3 linked regions of the Caenorhabditis elegans genome follow. The protein of the gene in region 1 interacts with the protein of each later gene in a pairwise test. Each region holds a gene or a part of one and is shown on either strand. Other genes may lie near its edges.

Region 1 (3,670 bases):
CTGGGCGTGGAAGGTGCGAGCCTCCTTGGCTGGGTCTTGCTTGGAGTCGGAGCAGACGGATCCACGACGAATATCCTTGACGGAGACGTTCTTGACGTTGAATCCAACGTTGTCTCCTGGGACGGCCTCTGGAAGAGATTCGTGATGCATCTCAACGGACTTGACTTCAGTGGTGACGTTTTGTGGAGCGAAGGTAACGACCATTCCTGGCTTGATGATTCCGGTCTCAACACGTCCGACTGGAACAGTTCCGATTCCTCCGATCTTGTACACATCCTGGAGTGGGAGACGGAGTGGTCGGTCAGTTGGGCGTTGTGGTGGAATGATGGAGTCGAGAGCCTCGAGGAGGGTCTTTCCGGAAGCGTTTCCTTCCTTGCGCTCAACGGCCCATCCCTTGAACCATGGCATGTTGGAGGAGACCTCAAGCATGTTGTCTCCGTTGAATCCAGAGATTGGGACGAATGGAACAGCCTTTGGATTGTATCCGATCTTCTTGATGAATCCAGAAACCTCGTTGGTGATCTCGGTGAAACGGGCCTCAGAGAATGGTGGCTCGGTGGAGTCCATCTTGTTGCAGGCAACGATGAGTTGCTTGACTCCAAGGGTCTGGGCAAGAAGAGCGTGCTCGCGAGTTTGTCCGTTCTTGGAGATTCCGGCCTCGAATTCTCCAGTTCCGCAAGCGACGACCAAGACGGCGCAATCGGCCTGGGATGTTCCTGCAATTAAAGTTTTATAAACGAGCTAAAAATTTAACAAAGTCGTACCAGTGATCATGTTCTTGATGAAATCACGATGTCCTGGGGCATCGATGATGGTGATGTAGTACTTGGCAGTCTCGAACTTCCAGAGAGCGATATCGATGGTGATACCACGTTCACGCTCGGCCTTCAGCTTGTCGAGGACCCAAGCGTACTTGAAAGATCCCTTACCCATCTGAAAAAAATCGGGTGAGAAAATCTTTCAAACTAGTTGTTTGTACTATTTACCTCCTGAGCCTCCTTCTCGAACTTCTCGATGGTTCTCTTGTCAATTCCTCCGCACTTGTAGATCAAGTGTCCAGTTGTGGTGGACTTTCCGGAGTCGACGTGTCCGATGACGACGATGTTGATATGAACCTTTTCTTTTCCCATGGCTGCTACGGAGTGAGCAAAGTGTTTCCCAACTGAAAAAAAAACAATTTAATTTAAAAGTAAGAAGAGTGCGGACGGTAGAGAGAATAAAAGTCGAAAAAATTATCCTAGAAACTTCTAATATTTTTAAAAATTAAAAAAATATAAAAAGTGAGGTCACAAATAAGACAGTTAGAACATTTGTTGAAAGCCTAAAATAAAAATTCGACTAAACAGTGAGAACAGGAAAAACGCTGGGACTGAATGTTTGACCTCATTATAAATTCATAAAATTTAAATTTCCTAATCTGGATAAAAACAAAGATAAAAACAAAATAAACCAACAAAAAACCAACATGATTAGTCAGATGACCAGAAAACTCACGTTAATTTCACAAGGCCCAAAAAAATCTCTCCCCCTCTCGTTGCTGCCTGCACATCTAACTCCTAGCACGAAAATGTACCGTACACCATTTCAAACACTCTCGGCGGGAGTGTTGCATACTTTTTCTCTCTGGCAGTTTATTTTCAATAAATTCTTCATTTTTATATTGTATAATGTCTTTATTTTATGAAAAATTCATTAATTTAACAGAAACAATGGAAGAACCAATGGAAGTTGACAATAAAAGACCAAAGGTGCTCACCTGGACAGAAAAATAGTTAGTTTTTTGTTTTTCGATTTGCAAAGTAAATTCAAATTTTCAGTCGTCCAAAAACGCTAGACGATATTGCATACCAGGATGAAGTCGTCACAATGCTGAAAGGAGCGCTTCAAGGAAGAGACGTATTGCTTAAAAAATTATTCAAACTAATCGTTTTAATTTTTCAGTTACCACATCTTTTGTTCTATGGACCACCAGGTACTGGTAAGACGTCAGCAGCTCTTGCATTTTGCCGCCAACTCTTCCCAAAAAATATTTTCCAGTAAGTGAAATACTGGGTGATAATTTTTTCCAATAATTATATTTTCAGCGATAGGGTTCTTGATTTGAATGCATCGGACGAGCGTGGTATTGCAGTTGTTCGTCAAAAAGTAAGATTGCCACTGATTTTTAATTAATTAAGAATTCCATAATTATAAAAACGTTTCCTGTTTAGATTCAATCCTTCTCCAAGTCATCTTTGGGCCACAGCCATAGGGAAGATGTTCTCAAATTGAAAATTATCATACTTGATGAAGTTGATGCGATGACCCGAGAAGCACAAGCAGCAATGCGCAGAGTTATTGAAGATTTTTCCAAAACTACTCGCTTCATTCTCATCTGCAACTATGTTTCCCGATTGATTCCTCCAGTTGTGAGCCGTTGTGCCAAGTTCCGATTCAAATCACTTCCAGCCGAGATTCAAGTTCAAAGGTGAAATTTCAAAATTAAGTGTTTTTTATAACTTTCGGTGTTTTTAGATTGAGAACAATTTGTGATGCAGAAGGAACTCCCATGAGTGATGATGAACTGAAACAAGTTATGGAATATTCAGAAGGTGATTTGAGACGAGCTGTATGTACACTTCAGTCATTGGCTCCAATTTTGAAAAGTGTTAGTTGTTTTTTCTATAAATATTGTGTAAAAATAGTACTTTATATTTCCAGGGCGATGACAATGCTCGAAATTGCTATCTCCGTGGTTCTTCGGACAGTTTACTCATTTCAAACGTTTGCAAATCAATCCTGACTGCTGATGTTCCCCAAATAATTGCATTGACAAAGGATATCACAAAATCGTGCACTGGTGTTGCTTTCATTCGTCGTTGTTTCCAACAGTTGATGGATGAAGATGTTATCAATGACGAGAATATTGGAGTAATGGGGAAACTGGTTGCGGTTGGTGGAAGATGAATACATAAATAGAAATGAAAGTTCAATTTCAGACTTGCGAAAAGCGAATTTTGGATGGATGTGATTTGGAAAACAATCTCCTCGACTTTCTGCTCACTCTTCGTGAAACTATCCAATGATAAATTAACACAATACGGTTTCAATTTGCCCATTGATTTCTCAACTTCAAAATTCACGTGTACTATATATAAATTTTAACATTCTATAAACAATAGTTTTGTGCTCAAATTTCGACAAAACATTGAGATTATTATATTTTTTTGAAGGTACAATTCGGCTTAGGTTTTTTTTCAGTTGAATACAAAATATCGAATAGGATAGTTTGGAATAAATAACTACTAGTTCCCTCCCAACTATTTTGCTCTCCGCTCAGTTTTTCACCCTCTGTCGCCCATCGATTTTCGCTCCTTGAAGACTCGGCTCCCCTTCCATTTTCTAAGTAATCTCGCCCCATTGAGCAGTTTTCATTTTTGGTATGAAGCTGAAGAAGTGGAAGTATCCAATTTCAAGAGCTTTTTTGTCTCAAGCAATTTGTGTGAGAATTTGAATTGAGGCAATTTTGAATCCCATTTCATTGTGAATTTCTTTTCTACTATAGCTCTGCTTCATTTTCCATATGATTTCAATTGAAGCTTCCTGACTCTGTACTAATATTAGAGAAAGTGGGGTCAATTCGAAAGTCCACCGTCTGATCAGTACTCAAATTTGATCGAGTCAATGTGTC
Region 2 (4,618 bases), on another chromosome or scaffold:
GAAAAAATTTTGTTAATGGAGAATATGTGGATCTTTCGGAGGAAGAAAAATTGGAATATAATGAAAATGAATATAGTGACTCTGAAAATGTTGAAGATGAAAGCGAAGAAGAAGTAGTAACTGTACAGGTTAGTTGAAAAAAGACCACATCATAAAAAATGTTTCGCATCTCGGTGCTTCTTACTTTTTTGAAACTTATTGCTCTACTGGAATACAGGAGAAAATAAAACATACAATTGTACTTAAAATATTTCAGAGATTTCGCCGAATACCAAGACAACAAGAAAGAATGATTGAAATAAATGGGGAAGCTGATCACAAAATCAAAATTGAAAGCTACAAGAAAAACAACGACTCCAAGAACATCGAAGGTAATGCAAATATACCATGGATTTATACATTTGTATTACTGCTTCTGTTGTTATAATAATTTACACTGATAACTTGTTTTATTTAGATTTCAATGCTCCAACGGGTATTGACTTTGCTTTAGCATATTTTTTCTCCCATTTCCAAGGTAGAAAGATTCAATCCATTACCATGACTTGCAATGAATATTTTACTTGAAATAATGAACACTAAAAAAATTGTGCAGTTTCTTGGTTTCTTTCGGAGCGTTTTAACAAACATGAATTTTACAGTCAAGGCCTACATTCAACTATACAAAAGATCATACAGTTGTATTAGAAATAAAACACGCTTCAAAGTCATGCCAGGCTTTCCGTACAACCGCCTCATTGGCTCAGTGGCAGAGCGTCTGTCTAGTAAACAGAAGGTCGCTGGTTCGATTCCAGCATGAGGCACCGAAATTTTTTGTTGACTTTTAACTCAAAATCGGTGTTCTGAAAAAAATTCTCTTATAACCCGTCACATTCTGCATATGAAATGAAAAGAAATGTAAAAAATCATTTACTATATATAAAGCGCGTGTCCTTCTGTCCCTATGTAGTTTGATCTTTGATCAGAGCAACGAAATTTTGGGAAACCTTATGCTAAGTGCGCAGCAGACATCGATCGAGGTCCGCGAGAGACACCGTATATCTAATGTGCTTTCTCAAATAGTCGGGGGCCGCGCCGTAGGTGCGGTCCACGGCTGGTATAAATATAAAATACAAGTAGATATAGAAAGATAAATGATTATTTAGCGCATACCTGTTGGTGTTGTTTAATTGGGTATTCATGGTTTGTTTCTGATGCCGTTTTTGGAGTATCCGTCCGCAATAGACCACATTCGTTTTTCGTTTTCTCGAATTATTTTCTACTACTTCAGCATCTCTATTCTGGAAAATACTTGGCACACTGACTTATAGTATCCTTTTTCTGCACAAATTATTGTGCAAAATTGTTGTGCCCAAAAATATCAATTAGACACCAAAGACATGGTTTCTGTTTCAGACCTCCCAGTTTTTTACTTTTTCGTTTACAGTTCTGAATGTTTGTAGAATATTGTCTACACGATTTTTTGTTTTCTGAAAAAAAAATTATTTTTCATAATTTGTATGATGTTTATTTATTCCCTATAGATGTCACAGTCTTTGGGGCGATTGGCGAACTGTGTCATGCTAGTTGGTAATAGTAACAGGAGAGACTAATGCAATGGTGGAGTGCACAGACATTGTGGCTGTCGGCATACATACGCCGATGTGCCGAGTATCCCATCTGCCGCACACATCTTTTGAGTCTGTCGTCTCCATTTGTTCTCCACTCTTTATTCGTATTGAATTTATATTAGTCGGTCGACATTTTTTTCTTTCTTATATAATTGTTCAAAAAATTTTTGAATATAAAATTTTTGAATAGCAGATATAGGAAATCTAGTCAAAATTTTAATGTGCCCGGAAATAGAATTTCTAATTTAAAATGTTTCGCATTTTTACAATATTTTTTTCTTTATTTTCTTCTCTCTTATTTTATATATTTTAGTGGTTTGTCATTTTCATTCGATGTGAGCCCAAATTTCGTGTTTTTGGACCCATCAAATGACATTGTACCTCATTTTTTATTGAAATATTATTGGTCTTACAGGACATGGTAAAATCACGAGTGTGGGACTATTTTCTGAAACTTCAAGATGGCCGCAACAAATGCAATTTATGCAACAAAATTTTGGCGAGAGGGAGTAGAGGTATAAATTTTCTTTGTTTAAAATAGTGTTTTTAATAAACATTGTTCCAGGTTCAACACATAACCTTATCAGTCATTTGACGCGAGTTCACCCAAAAGAATATGTTCTTCAAGAAGAGCCACCAGTTATGATAGCTCAGGAGGATTCTTCGGAATTCAGTTTTCAAAGTAACAATATGAAGACTGAAGATTTCACAATGCAATCATTTTTTGAACCAGAATTCATGAAACTGTATAATGATAACAATATCACCAAGTCTATTATGGAAATGATTTGCATGGATTCAATGCCAATGACGACGACTGATCGAGCAGGATTCAAGCGATTTATGACAAGTGTATGTCCGGATTATGAGTTGAAAAGTCCCTCATCAATGATATCATACGAGTTGCCAAAATTGTATCAAGAGTACGAAGACCAACTAAGAATGGAATTGAATTTGGCTGAGCACGTTGTTCTCTCTGTTGACATTTGGTCCGACAAAGGTTCGATACAGGAGATGATTGGAGTTACTGGAAACTTTTTGAAAAACGAGAAAGTAGTTCGTCGTACAATTGGAGTTATCAACTATCAAAAGGACGTACACAACGGAGTCTATGTTGCTGCTGAACTTGATAACCTGATGGCCCGGTTCAATTTAAATGGAAAAGTAGAAGTTGTCTGCAGAGATTACAATTCAATTGTAGAAAATGCATGTGACCATTTGAAAATTTCTTCAGTTAATTGCTTCAATCAACAGCTACATTTGGCAGCTTGTGAGGCAAAATCAAAAATTGGACAAATAAACAGAGTTTTGTTGAACTGCAAGCTACTTGTCAAAAATTTGAAAAACAGTTCTGTCACCTGGCAAACATCAGAGAAAATCCAAAGTTTAATGGAAATTCCAAATTTGTGCCTCAATCATTGCTCAGACGAATGTTGGTGTTTCTTGCAAGAATTCTTTGGGAGGGTCATAGAATGCCAACAAGTGATTGAAGAACTTCAAAAACTGCAATCGAGCGATTGGGACCTTATGAGAGATGTCGTGGAAATTCTGGCACCACTTAGCAAGTTTTCTAAATTATCAGAGGTAAATTTGCTACTATCATCATTACCCCTCTATGTTTTTTTTCCAGTCAAAAGAGTCGTCTGCTTCAGTGATCATTCCATACTGTGATTATCTTGTGAAAGCATACGAATCAACACAAAATCAGCCGGAAGCATTTTTGGCAGTTAAAGAACACATGGAAAGAGAGCTGCACAAATACACATCTTGCCAGTACTTGAAATTTTCCACTCTACTTGATCCGCGATATAAGGTATAACTTTAAAATATGAGAACAAGATTTGTTAAGTTGTATATTTCAGGATTTATATACAAACGACAGTGACACTTCCAATTTGATAAAGGCCATTGAAACTGAATTTGAAACGATGGATTACAAAAACAGAACATTTGAAGAGATTTCTTCAGAATTGTGTGGACCAGCTCCAAAATCTCAGAAACTTGATTTTGACGCTTATATACAGGTATTTAAAACTCAAAACATAGTTAAGTTAACAAATAAATTGCAGGAAAAAATTAAATCTCGCGGCAAACATAACGCATTAACTGGTGAAAAATTGACCGTGAGAATGGAAGTGACTCGATATCTCTCAACAGCCGTTGAAGATGTAACGCCTAGAGATTTCTGGCTAAACGATGTGACAAAAGCTTCTTATCCAAGACTTGCCAAATTCGCTCGACGTTTTATAATTTGTCCGACGGGATCTAGTGCAGCCGAGAAACTATTTTCAACAGATCGAGCGACTATGGATGAGTACAGAAATACTTTGTCTGATGAAAATTTGAAAATGCTCATTTTTTTGAACAAAAATATTTCTTCAATGACTGATCTTGAATTTGAAACAGAGCGGGACCTACATGACTAATTATTGATCTAATGATTTTATTTATTTGTTACTGAAAATTTCTGATTTTTTTTTGTTTTCCAATAAAAATCTTTATACTTTTTGTTGCAAATTTTGTGTCTTTAAACGATAGGGCAATAAAAACTAGCGTTGGAAAATACCATGAAAAAATAAATCGAAAAAATCAAAAAAGAAATCCGTCGAACCGGATTCGAACCAGTGACCTAAGGATACCCGCTGACTCTACAGTCCTCCGCTCTACCAACTGAGCTATCGACGGCATGTGAACATGCAACACGCTCTGCGTAAAAGTTCTTGCCCCTTCTCCCACTCTCTCTCTCTCTCTCTCTTTTGCTTTCGTGCGGAGAAGCATGAAAGATAGAGCGGAGAGAAGAAGCGTGAAAAGTGCCGGCGGCTTTCATGTGCTTGCTGACTAGAAAAGAGCAGTGGCTATTTTCTAGTTAGATAAATTGAATATTGTGAAAATGGTTTAATAAATGCACCACTGTACAAGAAAAAGCTTATTGAAATTCATCTTTAAAACTACATATATTATACATTGTTCATTTTTATTCAAAAACAAAGATCAGTAGTTTAAAATTG
Region 3 (4,976 bases), on another chromosome or scaffold:
TTCTTAATCTCATTGAGATGAATTTTATTGATCTTTTAGAATACTGTGGAAATGTAGCTTATAATAAGTCTAGTTCAATAAGAATGAAGCCTTATTATAAGCTACATTTTCGTGTAGAAATTTTAAAAATGTTTAATATTCATATTTGAATTTGTTAAAATATGTGTTTCAAATTAAATATCCGTAATTTGGAGGGTTTTCAATGACGTTTTTCGACATTTTTGCCGGTTAACTCCAGCCATTTTGTTTTTTGTGCGAAGTAAGGAAAACTTTCATTTCGATTCAATAGAATTAAATTCCGACAATGTTATTTTTTTGTTTCAGTCAATTTGATTCGGTTTTTGTCAAAGTGTTACAATTTGCAGTTTTTATTTTGTTTTTTTTCAATTAGGCATATGCTTTGTCCAGTATAACTCCTGTGAAACATTTGTGAATTTGTAGAAAAAATAATGTCCCGTTTCAATAAGTTTTCAAAGGTATCTCTTCGAGATGAATTTTATTATTCCGCTAGGAATCAGTGGATATGTAGCCCATAATAATTCTGTCAACTTTAATTCCAATTCAGTTATTGTCAAAATATTAATTGCAGACAATTTTGTTATGCTTTCGGTTTAATACTATTTTGGTTCTTAAATCGAACAACTTTGGTTTTCCAACTTCATATAACAATTTAGAGATTTTTTTTTCTGAAAACTAAGAAAAAGTTACACATTTCCTATTTTCAAGTTATTTTTTCAGTTATTTTCACTAACTAGTTAACTGATCACAAAAAACTTTGTGGAAAATATTCAAAACCTTAGTGACAATAATGTTCTGTTTCACGAAGTCCTTAAAAGTATCTTGTAACGGTGAACTTTAGTTCAAAGTTTCTCTGTTTGCGGCAATATATAAATTTCAAGAAATTTTACTATGTTTCTAGCTCAACACATTTTCAGAGTCTATAAAAAATGAAAACATTTTATTAATTTTTTTCCTGTTTCAGTGAGTTTTTAAAAAAAATTACCTTCTGTAGTTTCTAATCGGTTCCATGCTGCAATTTTAACCTCAACTTTGGAAAACTGGTATTAGTGTAGATTTACAAAGTTCTCGTTTTTTTTAAATTTTGGTTTAAAAAACGGGAGTTTTCCTGGAATTTACAAGGAAAATTGCAGAATCTGAATTCATTGAGATTTTTTTTACACTTACGCCGAAAATGTATAAACTCTGTGAAAAGGTTGCGAATTTTTAGTGAAAATATTGTTCTGTTTCAACAAGTTTTTAAAAGCATCTCGCAAAAAATTAATGTAGTTAATGAGCGTTAAATATGTATATCGTATTCCCTTTATCAATTTGTATTCCTGCGACAAATTTCCGTCAAAGAGAAATTTGTCTAGTTGGTAGTTTGTAGGATATAGTTTGTAACTGAAAATTTTAATTGCAGTTCAGTCTTTTGCCAAATATAAATTTAGTTATGTTTCTGGTTTAATACAATCTCAGAATCTCAGTGAAAAATAGTTCATCAATTTGTTTTTTCTCTGTTTCAGCAAGGAGTTTTAAATCCAGGCATTTCTTCTGTAGTTGATAATTTTTTTGAAGATTTACGAAATTTTCGTTTTCATTAGTGGTCGCTTTTTAGACATGCAGACATTTTGAGGATTCATGCACGGCCTACAATATATTTTCTCAAGCTTCCCAAGGCCTCTCTTGTCGTCTTAAATTCTGCCACTAACCCCATTTTGAATCAAATGCACATTGAGCTCATCTTCCATGCATCTCCTCCCTTCTCCTCTCATTCTCCATTTTCAGTGTGCATGATTGTCTGCGTCTCCCGCTTCTCTACACTCTCTCGTAGTCTCTACATCTCTCCGTCTCTGTGCTCTTTTTGCTCGTGAAGCTTTTAGTACTGCTAGAAGGAGTGAAGGAGTGACAATCGATTTTAAAGCAGAAAAATTAATTATGGATGTAAGTATTTTTTTTCAATTGTTTGTGTAGTTTGAAATTGAGCTAAAAAAACTGGAATGTTTCATGTTTTTATTAAAAAAGAACAATAAAAATCATAACTATTATAGTTACCATCAGAGGTGGGCGGATATTTTTTTCTGATATTTTCTAATAATGAATTTATCAATAAGTATTGATGTAGTTATTCTGGAAGAAATGTATCCGAACAAAAGAGTAACTATTAAGAAACATTTTAATATGATAAAACCTAGAAAAATTCTACAAGTTTTCTGTATAAACGATATGCAAGTCCATTATCCGATATCCGTAATATCCGTAATATCCGATATCCGATGTTGCTCGGCTAATAAGTTTTAAGGTCTCGGTAAGGAAAACTTGTAGAATTTTTCTAGGTTTTATCATATTAAAATGTTGCTTAATAGTTACTCTTTGGTTTGGATACATTTCTTCCAGAATAACTACATCAATACTTATTGATAAATTCATTATTAGAAAATATCCGAAAAAATATCCGCCCACCTCTGGTTACCATAATCGTGAAAAAACTTACTGTTTCACTTTCTAACAAATAATTTGTAGGTTTTCAAATTAATTATTGTTTTTTAACCATATTTTACAGTTCCAAATCGAAGAAGACCGGCTCGGAATGAGAATTCAATCGGAGACAATTGAGTTGACTAAAGATGAAAAAGGTGTCGTCGGAATTTCAATTGGTTTGTTCATTTTTTTCTCTGATGCTTGTATATAAATGGAAACCAACTCAAAATAATTTTTTAATAATAACTCGATAATGTTTAAGTGAATAGTTTGGTTTTTGAAACACTTCATTTAAAAACTACTAGAAACAGAAAAAAATGAAAAAAAAATGTTTTTCAAACAATTTGAAATATTACGCTAGTAGTGGTAGAGTGTACAATTTACCATTCCTTGGTTTTTTTTTACCGTCTGACCAAGAATAGTGTGTGAAACGAGAGATTTAGAGAAAGACGAGAGAGTGAGAGATTTGGTTATAGTAAGAAAGAATCGATTTTTAAATAGTGTGCGTTTTTGAGAGATTTAGAGAAAGAGACTGGTAAGACATTTTTGATGTTCTTGGTTCATTCAACCAGGGGACGGGTTCGAACCCAGGACACTATTCGTCTAAAACAGATGCCATACCAATACACTATAGACGTAGTCGCAAACCCAGTAGCATTTGACTCTTTTCTATTTCGAAACATCTGCCGTTTAGGAGACGTCTTTTTCCCAAACGCGATTTGAATGAATGCAAGCGTTACCGAGATTGATGAAGGAAGGAGGCCCCCCTCCCCGCGCCCCTGGGGGTTTCAAGAGTAAAAGTTGATGAACAAGTTTTTTCAATTTACCTGTGCTTTTGAAAAATGATGCATTCAAAGCTATTTGAAGTTTTTCGATAAAGGGTTCTCCACCCGTTATCGAAAACTTTAAAGAGCATTCCCTACAAAAAACATGTTTTACATTTTTTATTATTTATTCAATTACAGATAAGGATAAGTATTAGTGTTACATGCATTACTAACAATTCAAACATTATTATACAATCAATCAAATTTTATAATTTCCAATATTCTTTCGGCATTTCTTACAAACGTCAATTTTCAAAGTTGACCCATCATATTGTGCACCGTCCTGACAATCTGAACAAAACAGGATAGCGGCAAGTGGTTCCATTTTTCGTAAAGCAAACTGGGGTTCCGTTGTCTTGGCAGCCGTGTGTGTCGTTTTAAAAGTTTTCACATTTTTCTTTCCCTTCTTCTCCGACATAGGAATATCAGAAACATTTGATGGCAAAAACTCTGGTTCCTGAGACGAGTTTTGAAGAGTTTCAAAATTCCAAAAGACGTTCGCAGGTGAAGGATCAGGATAAGAAAAGTTTGAGAATGAGGACATTATCAAAAAAAGTCACTACGTACAACAAAAAATTGAGCACAAATGAAGATTGAATTCAGAAAAGTGGGCGGCTCTTGAAATTGGCATGGACAAATCATAAAGTTAATACTCCTGATGCATCAATCCAAGAGTCAAATTCGGCACCATATCCGTCCCAACGAACGAGGTGCTGTTTCTTTCCGCGTACTGTACGAGTGGCTAAAATCTTTTCAATTCGATACTGAGCGTCTGGTTTATATGTGCATTTAGTCAGTTCTCGAGTGTAGAATATTCCGGCAATTTTTTCTCCATTAGTGTCTACTATATTGTAGGTAACTGGTTTCCTTGCAAACACTTTGGAAATTACATAAACTTCTGTAGTCCATCCTTGTTCGTAGCCCTTGTCAAATTGTCCTCGTTTTGCAGCGATTCTGACGTGATCTCCTACTCTGAATTTGATTTTAACGCTGTCTACAGGCATCGGAGTTGAAAAATCTCCCCGCTCAACGTCTACTGGTTTTTTACCAATTCCACGATTAACGCTATTGTTGATACCATTCACAACTTGTTGTAAAACGTCCACATAACGTCGGTTGTACTTTTGAGTCATGTACTTTGCCAATCGAGTTTTCAGAGTCCTGTTTGCCCTCTCCACAATTGCACACTTTATTTCGCTTTTGGGTGAAAATAGATTCACAAAATTCTTGGCCAACAACTCTTTGACATGCGAGTTGTAAAATTCCTTTCCATCATCACTGTAAATTGTCATTGGTGTGACACCAATTTCTTTAAAAATGTCTTGTAGAGCTAGAGCCACTTCTTGTCCTTTTTTAGACTTTAACGTTTTTACAAAAAGCCGTCGAGAGTAAATATCTATACAGACTAGTAGAAAGGTTACTCCGTCGTTTTCCTTCTTGTACCGGGACATATCTGCGAGATCAATTTGAAGAGATGCATAAAGACCAGGTGAGACTGTTTTCCGACGCGGGAATCGCGATTGATTCGGGCGGTGAAGCGTAAAAGATTCCAAATCTTCGAGAACCTTTTCGACTTGTTCATACTTTAACGACTTGTATTTTGGCTTCAAATATTTGTAAACGTTTTTTACAGATGAATAGGCGCAAGGTAGTTTTTCGTCTGTATATGCT

Evidence for each region.
Region 2: the proteins of rfc-4 (region 1) and K09A11.1 interact in a two-hybrid assay, tested with the Caenorhabditis elegans proteins (2 studies listed by BioGRID).
Region 3: the proteins of rfc-4 (region 1) and Y57G11C.22 interact in a two-hybrid assay, tested with the Caenorhabditis elegans proteins (3 studies listed by BioGRID).

What each region holds. Positions count from the first base shown.
Region 1 is NC_003281.10:6,970,551-6,974,220, forward strand, and holds rfc-4 (Replication factor C subunit 4), read left to right. Parts: upstream 1-1,702; 5' UTR 1,703-1,709; coding exon 1,710-1,771; intron 1,772-1,817; coding exon 1,818-1,896; intron 1,897-1,941; coding exon 1,942-2,036; intron 2,037-2,084; coding exon 2,085-2,145; intron 2,146-2,210; coding exon 2,211-2,467; intron 2,468-2,514; coding exon 2,515-2,647; intron 2,648-2,700; coding exon 2,701-2,931; intron 2,932-2,978; coding exon 2,979-3,065; 3' UTR 3,066-3,167; downstream 3,168-3,670. Other genes in the region: eef-1A.1 (Elongation factor 1-alpha), read right to left, coding at 1-716, 765-933, 987-1,130. UniProt on the Caenorhabditis elegans protein: The elongation of primed DNA templates by DNA polymerase delta and epsilon requires the action of the accessory proteins PCNA and activator 1. This subunit may be involved in the elongation of the multiprimed DNA template.
Region 2 is NC_003284.9:13,260,472-13,265,089, forward strand, and holds K09A11.1 (BED-type domain-containing protein), read left to right. Parts: upstream 1-2,023; 5' UTR 2,024-2,028; coding exon 2,029-2,125; intron 2,126-2,175; coding exon 2,176-3,194; intron 3,195-3,240; coding exon 3,241-3,423; intron 3,424-3,472; coding exon 3,473-3,634; intron 3,635-3,679; coding exon 3,680-4,036; 3' UTR 4,037-4,118; downstream 4,119-4,618. Other genes in the region: K08H2.10 (CUB domain-containing protein), read left to right, coding at 1-128, 257-427; cyp-14A1 (CYtochrome P450 family), read right to left, coding at 4,610-4,618.
Region 3 is NC_003282.8:14,835,276-14,840,251, forward strand, and holds the start of Y57G11C.22 (PRKCA-binding protein), read left to right. Parts: upstream 1-1,935; coding exon 1,936-1,941; intron 1,942-2,042; exon of another isoform or gene 2,043-2,064; intron 2,065-2,537; exon of another isoform or gene 2,538-2,558; intron 2,559-2,560; coding exon 2,561-2,654; intron 2,655-2,722; exon of another isoform or gene 2,723-2,744; intron 2,745-4,976.